Linked DNA regions of Astyanax mexicanus. Each later gene encodes a partner of the first gene's protein in a complex. Links are inferred from orthologs where the notes say so. Each region holds a gene or a part of one and is shown on either strand. Other genes may lie near its edges.

Evidence for each region.
Region 2: the proteins of map3k3 (region 1) and ccm2 are in contact, whole or in part, in a crystal structure (PDB 4Y5O), measured with the Homo sapiens proteins. The link is inferred for Astyanax mexicanus from reciprocal best matches to the Homo sapiens genes MAP3K3 and CCM2. Residues at the interface, in NP_002392.2 of Homo sapiens: Asp2, Glu3, Gln4, Ala6, Leu7, Ser9, Ile10, Met11, Asn12, Asp13, Leu14, Val15, Ala16, Leu17, Glu50, Asp82, His84, Met86, Asn88, Glu89, Leu90, Ser91, Ile92, Leu93, Arg117, Leu119, Leu121, Ser122, Gln123, Asp124; in NP_113631.1 of Homo sapiens: Leu299, Tyr302, Met303, Leu306, Arg307, Ser312, Gln313, Ile315, Gln316, Gln317, Phe318, Ala319, Ala320, Leu321, Leu322, His323, Glu324, Arg326, Glu333, Ile336, Asn337, Gln340, Leu341, Leu353, Phe356, Pro358.

Annotation. Positions count from the first base shown.
Region 1 is NC_064426.1:21,052,382-21,059,567, reverse strand, and holds the start of map3k3 (mitogen-activated protein kinase kinase kinase 3), read right to left. Parts: upstream 3,030-7,186; 5' UTR 1,950-3,029; intron 407-1,949; 5' UTR 21-406; intron 1-20. UniProt on the Homo sapiens protein: Component of a protein kinase signal transduction cascade. Mediates activation of the NF-kappa-B, AP1 and DDIT3 transcriptional regulators.
Region 2 is NC_064408.1:71,268,086-71,275,985, reverse strand, and holds the start of ccm2 (cerebral cavernous malformations protein 2 homolog), read right to left. Parts: upstream 3,076-7,900; 5' UTR 2,607-3,075; coding exon 2,577-2,606; intron 1-2,576. UniProt on the Homo sapiens protein: Component of the CCM signaling pathway which is a crucial regulator of heart and vessel formation and integrity. May act through the stabilization of endothelial cell junctions. May function as a scaffold protein for MAP2K3-MAP3K3 signaling.

The sequences.
Region 1 (7,186 bases):
TAAAAGACGCTTTTTCTCACCTGAACGAACAGTGCAGTGTTCCCTTCTCTTCTTTTTGCCTCGAGCTTCACAAAATAATATATCAAGAAATGGAAACTGGCTTAGTTCAGCAATGCTGTCCCCAGAAATCCTGTCTCTTTGCTCCTGGATTGGAAAAAGCAATCATGCCATCGCTAAACCGCTGCCCGGGCCCCGGGCCTCTGGGGGCAGCCCCTTCGGCCTGCGGCCTCCAGCACCACCACAGAGAGAGATTCAGTCCAGAAAGAGCGAGCAAGGGTGGACAGTGGTGGCGTTTCCTACAGGTCTGCTGTCAGTTCATGATCTTATAGTGAAGGAAGCTTCTCCACATAGCACTTTTCTGAAGCATGGAAGCCGCCGTCTTCTTCGCATCGTAGCTGTGCACAAACTGACAACAAAGAAAACACATGATTATTACAAGACGTTTGTTATTACATAACTTGTCTAGTTTCATTTTTTAGAATTTGGTCCATTATAAGCCCAAACAAATTATGTTGAATGTACACCAGCGTTAGAAGTGTGTGATATGATACGGCAATAATATACAAAAAATATTGCAATATTTACATGAATAAATTACATTTTTACAATACACAATATAGATCACAATATTATGACAAGCAGACAAAGGGTATTTTCAGAGACTGTTCAGGTCCAAATTAAAATAGCAGGATAAGAGAATACAATCCCTTAGAGGATTCAAAATGCCAGGGCAAATAAATGATGAATAATTCTGACTGTCTCCCTATTGATGTACAGAGGAAACAAACTCTCTTCTGTAAACACTTAATTAACTGACAAGTAGTAGTGTGCCATATTATATTATATGCAATAATATCGGCAACATTTTTTAATATTGTGGACGATATTATACCCTAAAATATCGTGCCATATCATCCACGCCTAATTATCACATCAAAGTACTACATTTTTGCTGCTTTTAGCAAAAGAAAAATTCACACTGTTCTCATGTCCAATTATATATCTACTAGAGACAGATTACATCTGTCCAATATCATTTATTTTACTTTAATGCTGAATATATGGAGTGCATTATTAGTGACCTGACATTCTGGATTATTGACTTCTTTTTTTTTTTTTTAAATTGTGTTTTTTTTATATCTCAGTTAGGGGTGTGCCATATCATATCGTATACAATAACAGAATGTAATTAGTAGTGTACTGTTGATTTGTTTTTTTTTTTTGTTTGTTTGTTTTAGACTTCCCAAGTCTCCCGGAGGGTGCGTGAGTCTACATATATCAATAACAGCTCCCTGATGCCCGCAAATCAGATAAAATCTCCCGGAATCTAGAACAAGTGGCCCAAGAGTGAACACAAACGTGCACACAGGCGACACCGACTTTTTGTACCCAAATAAAAAAGAGGGAGAGGAAGAGAAAGGCGCTCCCTGTGTGCATATTCATGAAGCGTATGCAAAACAGAGAGGGTTTTGATTGGCCTGTTCTCTACAAAGAGTCAGCTGTAAATGACAATATTTTTATTTGGAATTGGGAGAAATGTTGTCTGTAAGTTTATAGAATAAAAAAAACAATGCTCATTTTATTTTAACATATACCTTTAAATTGCAAAATCAGAAACTGATTATTTTAAAGTGATCTAATTTTTTTTCCAATATACCTCCCTGAAATTAATTTTTGCAAATTGGGATGTCTGTTTTAATTTAGTGTTTTGTCATATTGCAAAGAGTATCCTTATCATGAAAATACCATGAAATGTTGTGATATATATTTAGGGCTATATCACTCTCCTTTACTAACAAGTAACCCAAGCATCTCTTTTTAAAGGGACTGTGACTAATGGGGGACACAGTCTTTACTAGAGCAGACTGGTTGTGTTTAAAAATTACATTAGTAGCTTAACTGTTACCGAACAATAATAACTAGAGAACTAACTACATACAGTAGCTTACCTCACATGTAGGTTCAGGACTGCTGCTGAGTCTTTCCAGCGTTTAGACCGTGTTCTTCAGAAAGCTGCTGTGGATATTAGATGGCATTCCCCGTGTAATAAACCGGTTTTAGATGTGAACTGTGTCGTATACTCCGGAATAGAAAGCAAAAAGAGCAGATTTGGTGCAGAAATCCATTTAAACTGTGGCTGAACAGTTAACCTAGCTGAGCTGGAGCTGAGTTAGAGAGGAGGGGGGCGATTTCCGCGAGTCTGATGGCTTCTTTTCCTGCTAAGTTTGCAGATTTTTTTCTGCACGTCTGAAAGAGTCAGTTCGCCCGAGCATAAGTTTTTTTTTATCGTTGTTTTCTTTTTCAGGTAAAAAGAGAGAGAACTAATTCTGTGTTTACACTTGCACCGAAAAAACGGGGTATAAACCGTTCCTGAAAAAAAACTAACGGCACTGTTAAGTTAGTTCGCTAGCTTAGTTAGGTTTACGGATTATGAGCTTTAAAAAAGATAAAATATGCTCATACACAAGTGCAGAAACCGCTTAAATGTTTACTAAACTAATACACGCTAACACTTCACCCAAAGATACGATATTATCGACCTAATATAGTGAGAGAAAAAAAGATAACACGTTAAGGATAGTAACGAAGCTCGATGGTCAAATCCGTTTTCCGTTGCTGTGTTTGTGTCTTCACACGACAGAACAGTGTAAAATAAGTGTTTCTCAGTCCAAAAATCCGAATATTTCATCATAAAATGAACGACTGAAGCTGCAGACACATCTCAACATCACGAGTTTATCAAAAAACCGCAAAGTCTGGAGTGAATCTTTTCTAACGCTGCGAGTTTCCTGACATGAAAAAAATCCAAATCGACACCAGAACCCAAAAACCTTTGATTCCTTCAAAACGACTGAAAAAGTTGTAAAAATAGAACTTATATCCAGCAGGAAATTCTACAGCAGTGTTTAAAAAATCCCCCTGTTTTTAAAAAATAGAAACCGCTTACTGTCCACTAACTTCCATCCATTTCATGCAGCTAAGCGAACACCACTGTCGCAGGGAGATTCGAGTCCTTAGGACAGACGAATCGGTTCTTTCGAACCATCGAGCCGATTCACGAGTCCGAACAGAATTGTGTGTTGTTAGGATATACCTTTTTTGTACTTTCTGGATCTGAAGAGACTGTATTTATAATTAATATATTTACCTATATACGCTTTTATGCAATAATTGGCATAGACTGAGGGCTGATCCAATGTTAGATAACGTAATGTAATAAATTTAATAAAATATAATTCTCACAAATGATTCTCACAAACTTTATTTTTTTGGGCTTAAGGAGCACCTAAGCAGGATTTTGCTCAAACATTGCTGAAAAAACATTTATTATAAACACAAATGCACAGTGGAGTCTATAAGGGGGGATAAATAGAGGTAGTTAACTTGAATCAATGAATCGACGTATCGACACTTGAATCGACCCCACTGTAAAATACTGTTAGGAAGAATCGGTTTGCCAAACTGAATCACGGCGTTAATACACTGTATGCGATTCTGTAATTGAACAGTGAGCAGGCGCAGAGAGCACAAGCTCGTGAAGAATTTATTTATGTGTTTATTAGTTTTTTTTGTTTCTTTATTTACCATAACAATAAAATTAAGAATTAAAATTCGAATATAATAACTAATGCAAATAAATAAAGCCCAAAAAGATAAATTCTGTTCCCCTCTGTCCTGAATCTTCTTGTTCTGGTAGGATCATGTATTTGTATAGTTTGCAATTAAATAATTAAATAAGACTGAATACTAGAAAGCACACATTTGCAGAGGCAAAAACTAAAACAAAAACAAAACAATTTGCATAACAATGGGGTGTGGTAACACTATGATTATTAATACTAAACATGGCATTGAATGGATACTTTAGACCAGTGTTTTTGAACCCTGATGATTTTATGATTTTGTAGCATTTAACAATCATTAACATCATTACATTTAAACCTGTATTTAAAACTGTGTGTGTTGGTTTACTGATGGGTTTGTATAGTAAATAAAATGCCTAAATTTGTATTCTAATCAGGGTGGCCACTATTTTCATTATTTTCATCACTACTGTAAAGAAACCTTAATATACACTCAACTGGCTATAACTAATGCACACCATACCCACTGTTTACACTTAAGGGCTGAAAAATTAAAAACCTATTTCTTGGGGAAAAGTTGGAATTCCCCTAACAGAGATCAGCTGAGAGAGATTTAGCTTTATCTGGACTCTCAGTATTGTAAATGAAAAGCGCCACGCCAGCGCCACTCACTGGCCAAACATGATTAACACATGTACAGATAAGTCTATCTGACCTATTGCCTCCTGGGGCCACAACTTAAAGTGACAGTTCGTATTATTTTGTTTCTACACTGAGAGCAGAAGCATTTCTGAACGGAGAAGGGACAAAATACTATGTTTAATGGTACCAGTGGGCTGGAATGACCATCCCTGCTAAGCCTAATATATTTATTCTAAAAGCTGGGATCTCGGGTCGCTTTTCGCAGGAGTCCTTCTGGTCACGCCAAGCGTCTTTACGTACTTACGTCACACATACAGCCTCTGAAAGAGGATCCGACTCTGTTTTACTGTATGTTCACACTACAGCAATGCCTCCCACTGTTCTCTATGAAGAGCGGCAGCAGCAGCAAAAATTTACTTTTTTAAGATATTTAGATAAAAGTATGACAGCGTAGACCAGGGGTGTCCAAACTACGGCCCACGGGCCATTTGCGGCCCGTTTCCTTTTTTGGAGCGGTATTTTAGAAATAGAATGAAAGTTGGCCCGCTGTTAAGTAGGTTTTTATAATGTGAGATTCAAAGTTTGAATGCTAGGTATCAGAAACGGGCCAAAGAGTCTAAATGCGAAGAGAGTGTTCAGTTGTAGCGCAGAAAACGGGCCAAAGAGTCTAAAAGCGGAGAGAGTGCTCAGTTGTAGCGCAAGAAAACGGGCCAAAGAGTCTAAAAGCGGAGAGAGTGCTCAGTTGTAGCGCAAGAAAACGGGCCAAAGAGTCTAAAAGCGGAGAGAGTGCTCAGTTGTAGCGCAGAAAAAGGGATAAAGAGTCTAAAAGCGGAGAAAGTGTGCAGTTATTGCGCAGAACCACGGGCAAAAGAGTCTAAAAGTTGCCGTAATTAAGGAGTTTAATATTAAGAGACATCATGAAATGAAACATCAAATCGTCGCTGCAGTGTGAACGTACCGTTACTAAATGCAGATTTCAGTAGGGGAAACTCAGACCCCAGTAGCTCATTTACTCAGCAAAAACAAAGAAGAATCCGTGCTAAAACCAGGATTAATATTGGCTGGCGTTATAATTATAATTGGACTGGCGTTTTAACGGTGGAGAGAGCTCAGTGACCTGAAAGGGTTTAAAAGGCAAAAGCTATTTCAGTTATTTGGCTTTTATTACTAGCTTCTAAAACGCTGTGGATTTTATTGCCTGTAACATTGTGTAGCTTTGTAGCTGGAGTATACGCTTAGCCGCGGGCTAGACAGGCTGTATACTCTCTCTCACATACACATACACAGTGAGTCTAACTCGCCCCCTATTGGCTACAGACCTTACCATAATTCTAAACGTACAAAATAAAGAACATTAACATTTGCCCTCAACTAATTATTGATTGCTCTTTCAATGATGTGTGTGTGTATGTAATATATGTATATATATATGTATATAAATGTGTATATATATATATATATATATATATATATATATATATATATATATATATATATATATATATATATATATATATATATATATATATATATATATATATATATATATATATATATCTTTTTTTTGTGTTCTAGCTAACTGTTTATTGGATGTAATTGCGCTCTACACTGTGCCATTATTTCACCTAAAATGTATAAAATATGCTTTATAACTTGGAAATATTGTTTCACACTGCAATTTATTAAGGGGTATGAATTGCAAGCCAATAATTATTGTTACAGGCCTAAAAACAATGGTATATATTTTTCATCTGTTTTAAAAGAATTGAAACACACAAGACCAAATGAACACCAGTAACTTCTTTATTTCTTTTCTCCAAAAGCGTGTACAAAAAATGAAAATTAAAAAAAGGGAAGAAAGGAAACACAAAAGACTGGAAGGGTGGGGAGGGTAAAGGTGTGGATTTGAAGGGAGTAAGGAAAAGACATCACATTTTGGTTGTCTGGGATCTCTGGGTTTAACAGAGTGCTGTGGAGGAAGGGGCTGAAAGACTCCAGAGTGGGAATGAAAGATTCAAAGTAAAAGCGCCACCTTAAAAAGCCAAAAACATCCTGCTGTTTTAAGGCCACCAGATTCACTCCACTGATCAAGTTTCGACAGAGAATAATCCACTTGGTTTAAACACGCATCTCTCTCTCAGCTCACTCAACCCATGCTGACGGTCTACTACTTTACAAAATAAGAGTTTTATTCAAATCTGTCCTACCTTAAACAATCCAATCTTACAGCTACTGAACATCCACATATACACACACACTTTACGATTACGTTCAGGCAGAGACAGGACATTTGTACGCTTTCCCCCCCCCCATTTTTGATGATTATTAAAATGAAAAGACTCACACACACAATCTTTAGACAGGATATGGTGTAGGTTTGTACCTTGGCCCACATATCTGAGGAGCATTGATGTAAACACAGTGATTTGTGCCAGTGAGGAACAAACTAACAAAAAAATAAAAATTTAACATGGGAAAAAAATGCAGACTTTAAATTTACAGAGAAAAAAAACAAAGTAATCTGAACAGTCCAGGAAGTAGACAATAGTTCTGGGCTCAAATACAAACCCAAACTGTACAAATTCTCCTTTCTCTAAGAACCTGAAATGGATGTGTGTTTTATTAACAATAATAAGAATAATAATGTTTTTATTCTACGGCTTGGTAAGAAAATATTGTTCTGGCTCATGTTAAGAGCGTATGATTATTCGAAACCTCACAGCGCATTCAATTTCACAGTAATCTCCAACATTTAGAACAACAGGAAGGGCTTCTGTGGTAATCAGGTTACAAATGATGACATTTGTTCCATCTCTCATGCTTTCTTAATGGACTCAGAAAGTGAATAGTAAATAAAGTGAAAAGTAAATAAAGTAAATAATTTGGCCCAAAAAAATTTAAAAAGAAAAAAAAAAAAAATCTAATTTACAATGTAGATACAAGACGTCGAACAAAAAATT
Region 2 (7,900 bases), on another chromosome or scaffold:
TAATTACAAAATACATTTTCTATTCCTAGAAATAAAAAACAGTTTTTAAGCTGGTACTACTGCCCAGTTCCCATTATACAATGTAGGTAGGGCTGGTTAAGCCCACATACTTATTTTCTTTAAGTAGGAATGGGCAGCAGTGCCTGCTTAGCAAGAAATTATAAGGTCTATCCTTAACTGGCACACACTAATGAGATGATTAAATAGAGAGTAATTAGGAGATACGTGTTGTTATCTTTAAAATAAACCATTTTAATAATCTGTTAGCTATACAGAAGCTAATTATATTTTTCAGTGCCAATACAGGATCAAATTTATTTCCAGTATGGTCTTTGAATAAGTAGAACAGACAGGATAACAAATGTTCTTAAAACAAAACATTGTTTTGTCAAGATCAGAACTTTTTTGTACGTTTAAATCAGAAGAACATTTCAAACAGGGTAATTGAGATTGTAGATCTTTACATATAGACCATGCAAGAGAGTATCTCAGTAGATTGGCTCGCGTTTCTGTTAAGAAACCTGTAAAAACCCATATAGAATAGTGATTCACATATTTTAGTTTTCTTTAACTAAGAATATAAGGTTAGGTCTGTAATCTGCTTAATATAAAAGCTGCATGTAAGGTTAAAAGGAGCTGCTCGCTATAATGATGATGATGATAATAATAATAATAATAATAATAAAACTGCCTTATCAGTTGTTATGCAGCATTTAATTTTTTTTTAAATAATTATATTACAGTATTGCCTAGCTCTACTTCAAATACATTATTAAACCTATAAAAATGAGAAAATATTCAGCATCCAGAAATAGAAAAATGTATACCACAATTGCCAGTCTGTACACTTACGTCTGCAAAAGAAATCTTTATTAACTACTAGTGCACCTGAAAAAAAATATTTTATAAATAATAATTTTCATTTATTGTTGATGATTATGGCTTAGATGCAAAGAAAATCTAAAAAATACTAGTGTCTCAGAAAATGAATTATGAAAAAGAAGCACAAAGTGCTGTAAGAGTTTCCAGAAAAACACTGGTCTGACTTTGGATTTGGAATAACACAGAGGACCAACACCTGCAAATGACATGTCTCTCCAAACCATCACTGATTGAAGAAACTTCACACTAGACCTCAAGCAGCTTGAACTGTGTTCCTCTCCACTCTACCTTCAGACTCTGCTCCCTTGATTTCCAAATGAAATGCAAAATGTATAGATGATCAGTGATGGTTTGGAGAGACATATCATCTGCTGGTGTTGGTCCAATGTGTTTTATCAAGTCCATAGTCAGTGCAGTGTTTTCCCAGAAAATATTACAGCACTTCATGCTTCTCTCTGCTGACAATTTTTATATTCTAATTTTCTGAGACACTGATTTTTGGGTTTCATTGGCTGCAAGCCATAATCATTAACAATAAAATAAATAAATGTTTAAAATAGATCACTCTGTGTGTAATACAACTATATCATATGAGTTTCATATTTTAACTGAATTACTGAAATAAAGTAACTTGAAACGAAATTAAATTTTTTGAGATGCACTAGTAGTTAACCAAGATTTCATTGACAAAGTTGGCTCGTAGTAAGTGTACAGACTGACAATTTCTGGATGCTGAATATTTGCACTCTACAGCCTGGTGACAACAGCTGATAAAAGTAGCCACCCAGTTCTACCACAGTCTCTCTCTCTACCCAACTGCCTCACTGAGTTTAACTTCTAAACCTTATCTCTATTAAATACGCACTGTTTCTAAACACTAGCATAAATCATCACCGCCCATAACAGTGTTTTAAACACCGAGCTGAGCTGGTTGTGAGGCGGTGTTTTGGTGTTTCAGCTGCTCCTCTGTGTGTTGTGTTGTGTTAAGTCGTTTTGTGTTACGTAGAGTCAGCAAGTCGGGGTTCATTATACAGCTCTGGAAAAATAAGAGACTCTTAAAAATTGAGTTTCTTTGATTTTACCAAATTGAAAACATCTGGAATATAATCAAGAGGAAGATAGATTATCATAAGCCATTAAAACAAGCTGAACTGCTTCAATATTTGCACCAGGAGTGGCATAAAGTTATCCAAAAGCAGTGTGCAGGGCTGGTGAAGGAGAACATGCCAGGATGCATGAAAACTGTAAGTAAAAACCAGGGTTATTCCACCAAATATTGATTTTTGAACTCTTAAAACTTTTTGTATATATAAACTTATTTTCTTTGCATTATTTGAAGTTTGAAAGCTCTGCATCTGCATGTTTCAGCCATTTCTCATTTTCTGCAAATAAATCCTCCAAATAAGAATGCTAACATTAACATAGAATTTGGGAGAAATGTTGTTCGTAGTTTATAGAATAAAACAACAATGTGCATTTTACTCAAACATATAAATAGCAAAATCAGATAAACTGGTTCAGAAACTGATGCGGTCTCTTATTTATGTTCAGAGCTGTATGTTATATCGTAGCCTTGGCTACTGCTGAGCTGGTTAGCACTGCTGTGGCTAGGCTAACCCGCTGCCCGCGGTATCAGACAGAGAGCTGAAGTGATGAAAAGTGTCTCAGAGGAGTGAGAGAGGGACACAGCTCACCTTTTTAACTTTCTTCACTTCATCCTCCATTTCTACAGCAGCTCTTCATCTTCTCTCTAATCGCGCAGAGGAGGGTCACGGGTTCAGCGCCCGGCGGCCGCAGTCCGCGAGCAGCGGCGGTGTACCGCGGAGAGTCCCCCCGGCGGAGAGCGGGCTCGGGGCGACCACCCGCCGCTCACATCCCCTCTCCAGCACAGCCACGGAAACAGCAGCCCGCCCGGTACCGACCACCACCGCTCCCGGGGTCGGAAAGACAGCGGATGAAGCACAGAGGGACTGAAAACTACAACAAAAACACCACCAAACTTTTCAATCCTGCCGCCATTTTGGGCGTAGAGCGCCTACCCAGTGTGCTTTGCAGGGAGAGACCGGAGTTTGATGGCTGTACAGAGCTGAGCACAGCTCCACTGATCCCCTTTAACCAAGTTACTGAAAACACAACACACAAACCTCTAAACTACCAACTGTTATTACCATTTATCACACAACTGTGATTTAAGCGCTGGAACGTGTTATAAACTTTAATGAAGTCATATTCTGACTCTTGTCTTTATCACAGCACTGAGCATTTGGCCCTCAACACTGAGTCTACTGATAAAATTAAAGTTTATTTTTAATACTTTTGACTGTTTGTTTAAGACTCAACAGAAATCTCAATGTTAAGTTTACTGCATAATTTAAACACAAACTGTCTCTTATTCTGTGTATAAATTTCTAAATAAATGGACCAATAGAATTTTTCCTAAATGACCTGAAATAAACTCTTTTAACACTGCCCACTAAACAAAGAGACGTTGAAACGACGTCTTTTCTAGGTCATTTTTGCACGTCCAATTTTGGTCTCCTGAAGGTGCAGACTGTGACGCCAGACGACGTCTTTTTTCTGACGTCTTCTGCACGTCCAGTATTGACGTCCCCCAGACCTCCGGATAAGGGCTAATTCTAGTTTAAATTAAGTCGTTGTGGACGTCTTTTCTACGTGAAATTTACATGTATACGTTTTATAGACCAACTACTTTGAGGCTCCCTGCATAACTGTAGTGCCATTTCAGACGGTGGCAACTGTTCCATTGTTCCAGCTTCAGCAGTTAACTGGAAACGCATACAAAGCTAAGCCAAACAATTACTGGAACAGGTTCACAACCTTCTGGAACTAGTTATGCACGTTAGTTATACACAATATGCTTTACAAATAAATTGCATTTCAACCCTCTCACTTTTTTCAAAACATGTCAACCTGCAAAGAACCAGTAAAAGCAAGGGATAAATTAATTACCCCCATCTTACCACTGTTGATTTTAAATTGACCCTTTCTGTTTGGGGAAACATTAATATAATAATAAACATAATGAGTAAATCTCATTTGGGGTTAATGCCTTTATTTTACATCAACATAACATACACCTTAGATTCACACCATAACAATTTCACTAAACATTTACCTTCCCTTAAAACTATTACAGCTTTACATTACACCTTCCCTTAACAATATTATACCTTCCCTTAACACTATTACACATTTAACATTACACCTTCCCTCAACACTATTACACCTTCCCTTAACAATATTATACCTTCCCTCAAAACTATTACACCTTTACATTACACCAGAGTCTCAAAGTACCGGCCCACGCGGTTTCATACGGCCCCTCACGGGTTAACAAAATAAACATACATCTGGCCCGCAATTCAATTTAATTATTTATGCTTTATTATGTTCGTTTTCATATTTTATCTTAACTTGTATTTTGGTGTGTGTGTGTGGTTTTTGTTTTTTTTTTTGCTTACGCTGCGTTGCCTGCTTTAGTAGTCTTCAGTAGCCTTCAACAGTCTAACCTTGCTGCCGTGGTGTGTCCACTAAACTCCGTAGTTATAAACATCCTGAGGTTAGCAGCGCGCTAACTGACCTGTTTATAATGTAATCCGAGCAGTGCCTCCGTGACGCTGCTCTAAACTGCTGCTGTTAGCTGCTTGGGCTGAAAGATGAACTGTAGAGAGCTGTATTATCCGGTTAGTGGGGTTATTTTATTTCATACACAGAAGAACTTAAAAAATTTCAAAACGCTCCAGACAGGCTCAGCTGAGTCCTGTAGCCCGTGGCTGGGCTGTAGCTCTGACTAAGCAAAGACTGCGGGCTTGTGGTGCTGCAGCTGCAGCTCCGACTAGTGGTTGGATGAGGAACTGCTAAATCTGAGGAAATGCTAAATCTGTCACAGCTCACAATTTTTGATTTTATATTTATTAAGCCTTATTTCAGTATCAAACGTTTTGATCAAAGTTAATATAACTTGTACTTGATGTAATTTCTATTCACTTGAATAGTTTGGTTCTTGATTGATGGAGTTTTTGGATTTCATAACATGACAAATTAAAAGGATTTATGTTAATAGAGCAACAAGCAAACATTTTTCCATGCAACTGTAATATTTGATTGAATAAATAGTATATTGAGAGTTATTTAACATTAAGGAGTAATTACATTCATTTTATATTACATCTGGTTACATTTTCTTATATTTATAAGTTACATCTGGCCCTCAGAGGACAGCCAATATGTCAATGTGGCCCTCGTCAAAAATGAGTTTGAGACCCCTGCATTACACCTTCCCTTAACAATATTATACCTTCCCTTAACACTATTAACTTACACCTTTAACATTACCCCTTCCCTCAACACTATTACACCTTCCCTCAACACTATCACACCTTTAACATTACACCTTCCCTCAACACTATCACACCTTTCCACTACACCTTCCCTTAACACCATTACAACTTTACATTACACCTTTCCATTACACCTTCCCTTAACATCATTATACTTTCATTAAGATTCTAGGTCCTGAGAGACAGCGGTGTGTCCTCCACGTCTTTGTGGTGCATGTTTGAGATGCTCCGAAGTATTAAGTCCTCGGTGGCTGTCCCGTCACATTTCATGACTCCATCTGCACAAGTAGAAAAAGACAAATTAGAAATCTCAGAAAATGTTGAAGATGGCCATTTATTTTTGTCCCACAACAAACTATTTTAAATTGCCTTATTTATGTAATATTCACATAAACTTACTTCTTCATGCTATGGCTTAGCTAACGCTAAGCTAACGATAAGCTAACGCTAAGCTAAAGGCGGGAATACACATTTAACACCTGACGAGAATTATCGTGCCGTTTTAATTCTCACACATCATATTAAGCTATTTTAATATTTTTTTTCCCACAACAAACTATTTTAAATTGCCTTATTTATGTAATATTAACATAAACTTACTTCTTCATGCTATGGCTTAGCTAACGCTAAGCTAACGCTAAGCTAACTGGTTAAGCTGACTGGTTGAAATCAACTTAACAATTTTCCACATAAATTGCATTTCCAAATAAAAATAAAAACATACGTAAATAAATACCTACATTCGTTAATTAATTAAATAGATAAAAATATAATACTCAAATAAATAATTAGAAATAAATGATGCTTAATCATAAATAATCTATATTCATAGTGATTAACAATATTGATAACAACAATTTTGACATACATTTAAAAATAAATATATTCTTAAATAATGTTAATTTCCTGCACCTGTATAAGACGTCCCCATGACGTCCAAAAAAGTGACCTAGTCCGACGTTCAAATGTTTAACTGCATATTGACGTCCAAGTGGGGTCATAGTTAGACGTCCAAATAGCGGACCTAGTTTGCACGTCGTGTAGACGTACAGAATTGGTCTTGGACCGACCGACGCAATATAGACATGATCTGCACGTCCATAAGACGTCTAATGTTTAGTGGGTGACTTCTATTGAAAGTTTTATTTCTCTCCTGTAAAGCTCCGGTTTTGGATATACATGATTTTCAATTGTTCCCATTTTAATCAAATTTTATTTTCACTTTTCCTGTCACAGTTTTAGGTAAAAATTGGCATTTGATGAAAACGTGGTTGATCTAGAGCTGCAAACATTTTAAATGGTTCATGTTGACCATGTTCTGTTCTTATCAAAAATCTATTTTAATTCACTAGTAATTTTCTATCATTTGAATTACCGTGGTATTTTACCAAAACTGGGGGACAGTTCAGGCTTTACCTCACCTAAATGAAAAATAAACACCTTGAAAATAAAACAGTATGAATGCTTTGATATCACTTATGTCAGTGATTATTAGGGGAGGTTATTCCAAGATGACAGGGAATTCTCGAACATAAATAGCTTCATATTGGAATACAAAAATAGCTAAACATATAACTGAATAGTGGAAATAAATAATATAATAAATAAAAAGACTAAAATAACAATAATTACAATCTTTTTCCACACAGGACCATGTAGGTTTGCATTTTTTCTCCCTTGATAATAAAAACAGCACTTGTGTTGTATTTGACTAATATTTAAAATTGTTGGATGATCTGAAACATTTAAGAGTGATAAACACGTAAAAAAATCTGAAATCATAAAAGGGGGCAAACACTTTTTCACACCACTGTTTGTGATACATGATAAATTGTTCCAGACAGCAACCTCAGCAACCTACCAACATATAAAATCAAGCACTCATGCAGTCGGCATTTACAGACATTAGTGAAAGAATGGGAGGCCACCATTGCAAAAATCAGAGTTGAGCCTTACAACACTATTACAGCAAATAAACAACAGGGGGCGTGCTTGTTTGGCGTCCTGCTTCACAGGACATACTTGTGTCTGGAACAAGCTGTAGATGTGGAACACCAAAAACTAACTGATGAAAAAAGGGATTAGAAAAATATCTTAATTTAGACCTGACACATGTAAACACTAGTAAAGCATTTAGACAGTGGAGGGACCTCTGAACTATTAATGCTCAAGAGGTGGGAAACTTTGCCTTATGTTTGCTGTTGTTTTCTTCCTTTTTGTGAGTGTTGATGACAGTCATAACTGGTTTTGTTAGCAGCAGCAATTGTGAGATACCCCTCGCTGCAGAACCACAAGTCCAGGGGGTGGGGCTGGATCTGATCCAAGGGGTGGAGCCTGACCTCCTGACCACCCATATCTTCTTTTCATTGGTTTTAAGTCATCGCATTTCAATTCGTCGTTAAACTTAAAACGTGTCGCTTACGTTTCCCGACCAGGACTTTTATCTTATCAAATAAATCCTGGAAAATGTTATTTGCTACGTAGCACATTTAAATCACACAATACAGATTTAAAAGAAGGAACATGTCTGTGATTACAAACATAATAAAATGCTGTACATTTCCTATATAAATATTAACTATTTCATTTTTTATCTTTAATAAAAATGGCCTAAAGACAAAATAAAAAATAAATAATTAAAATAAAGGATGCCAATG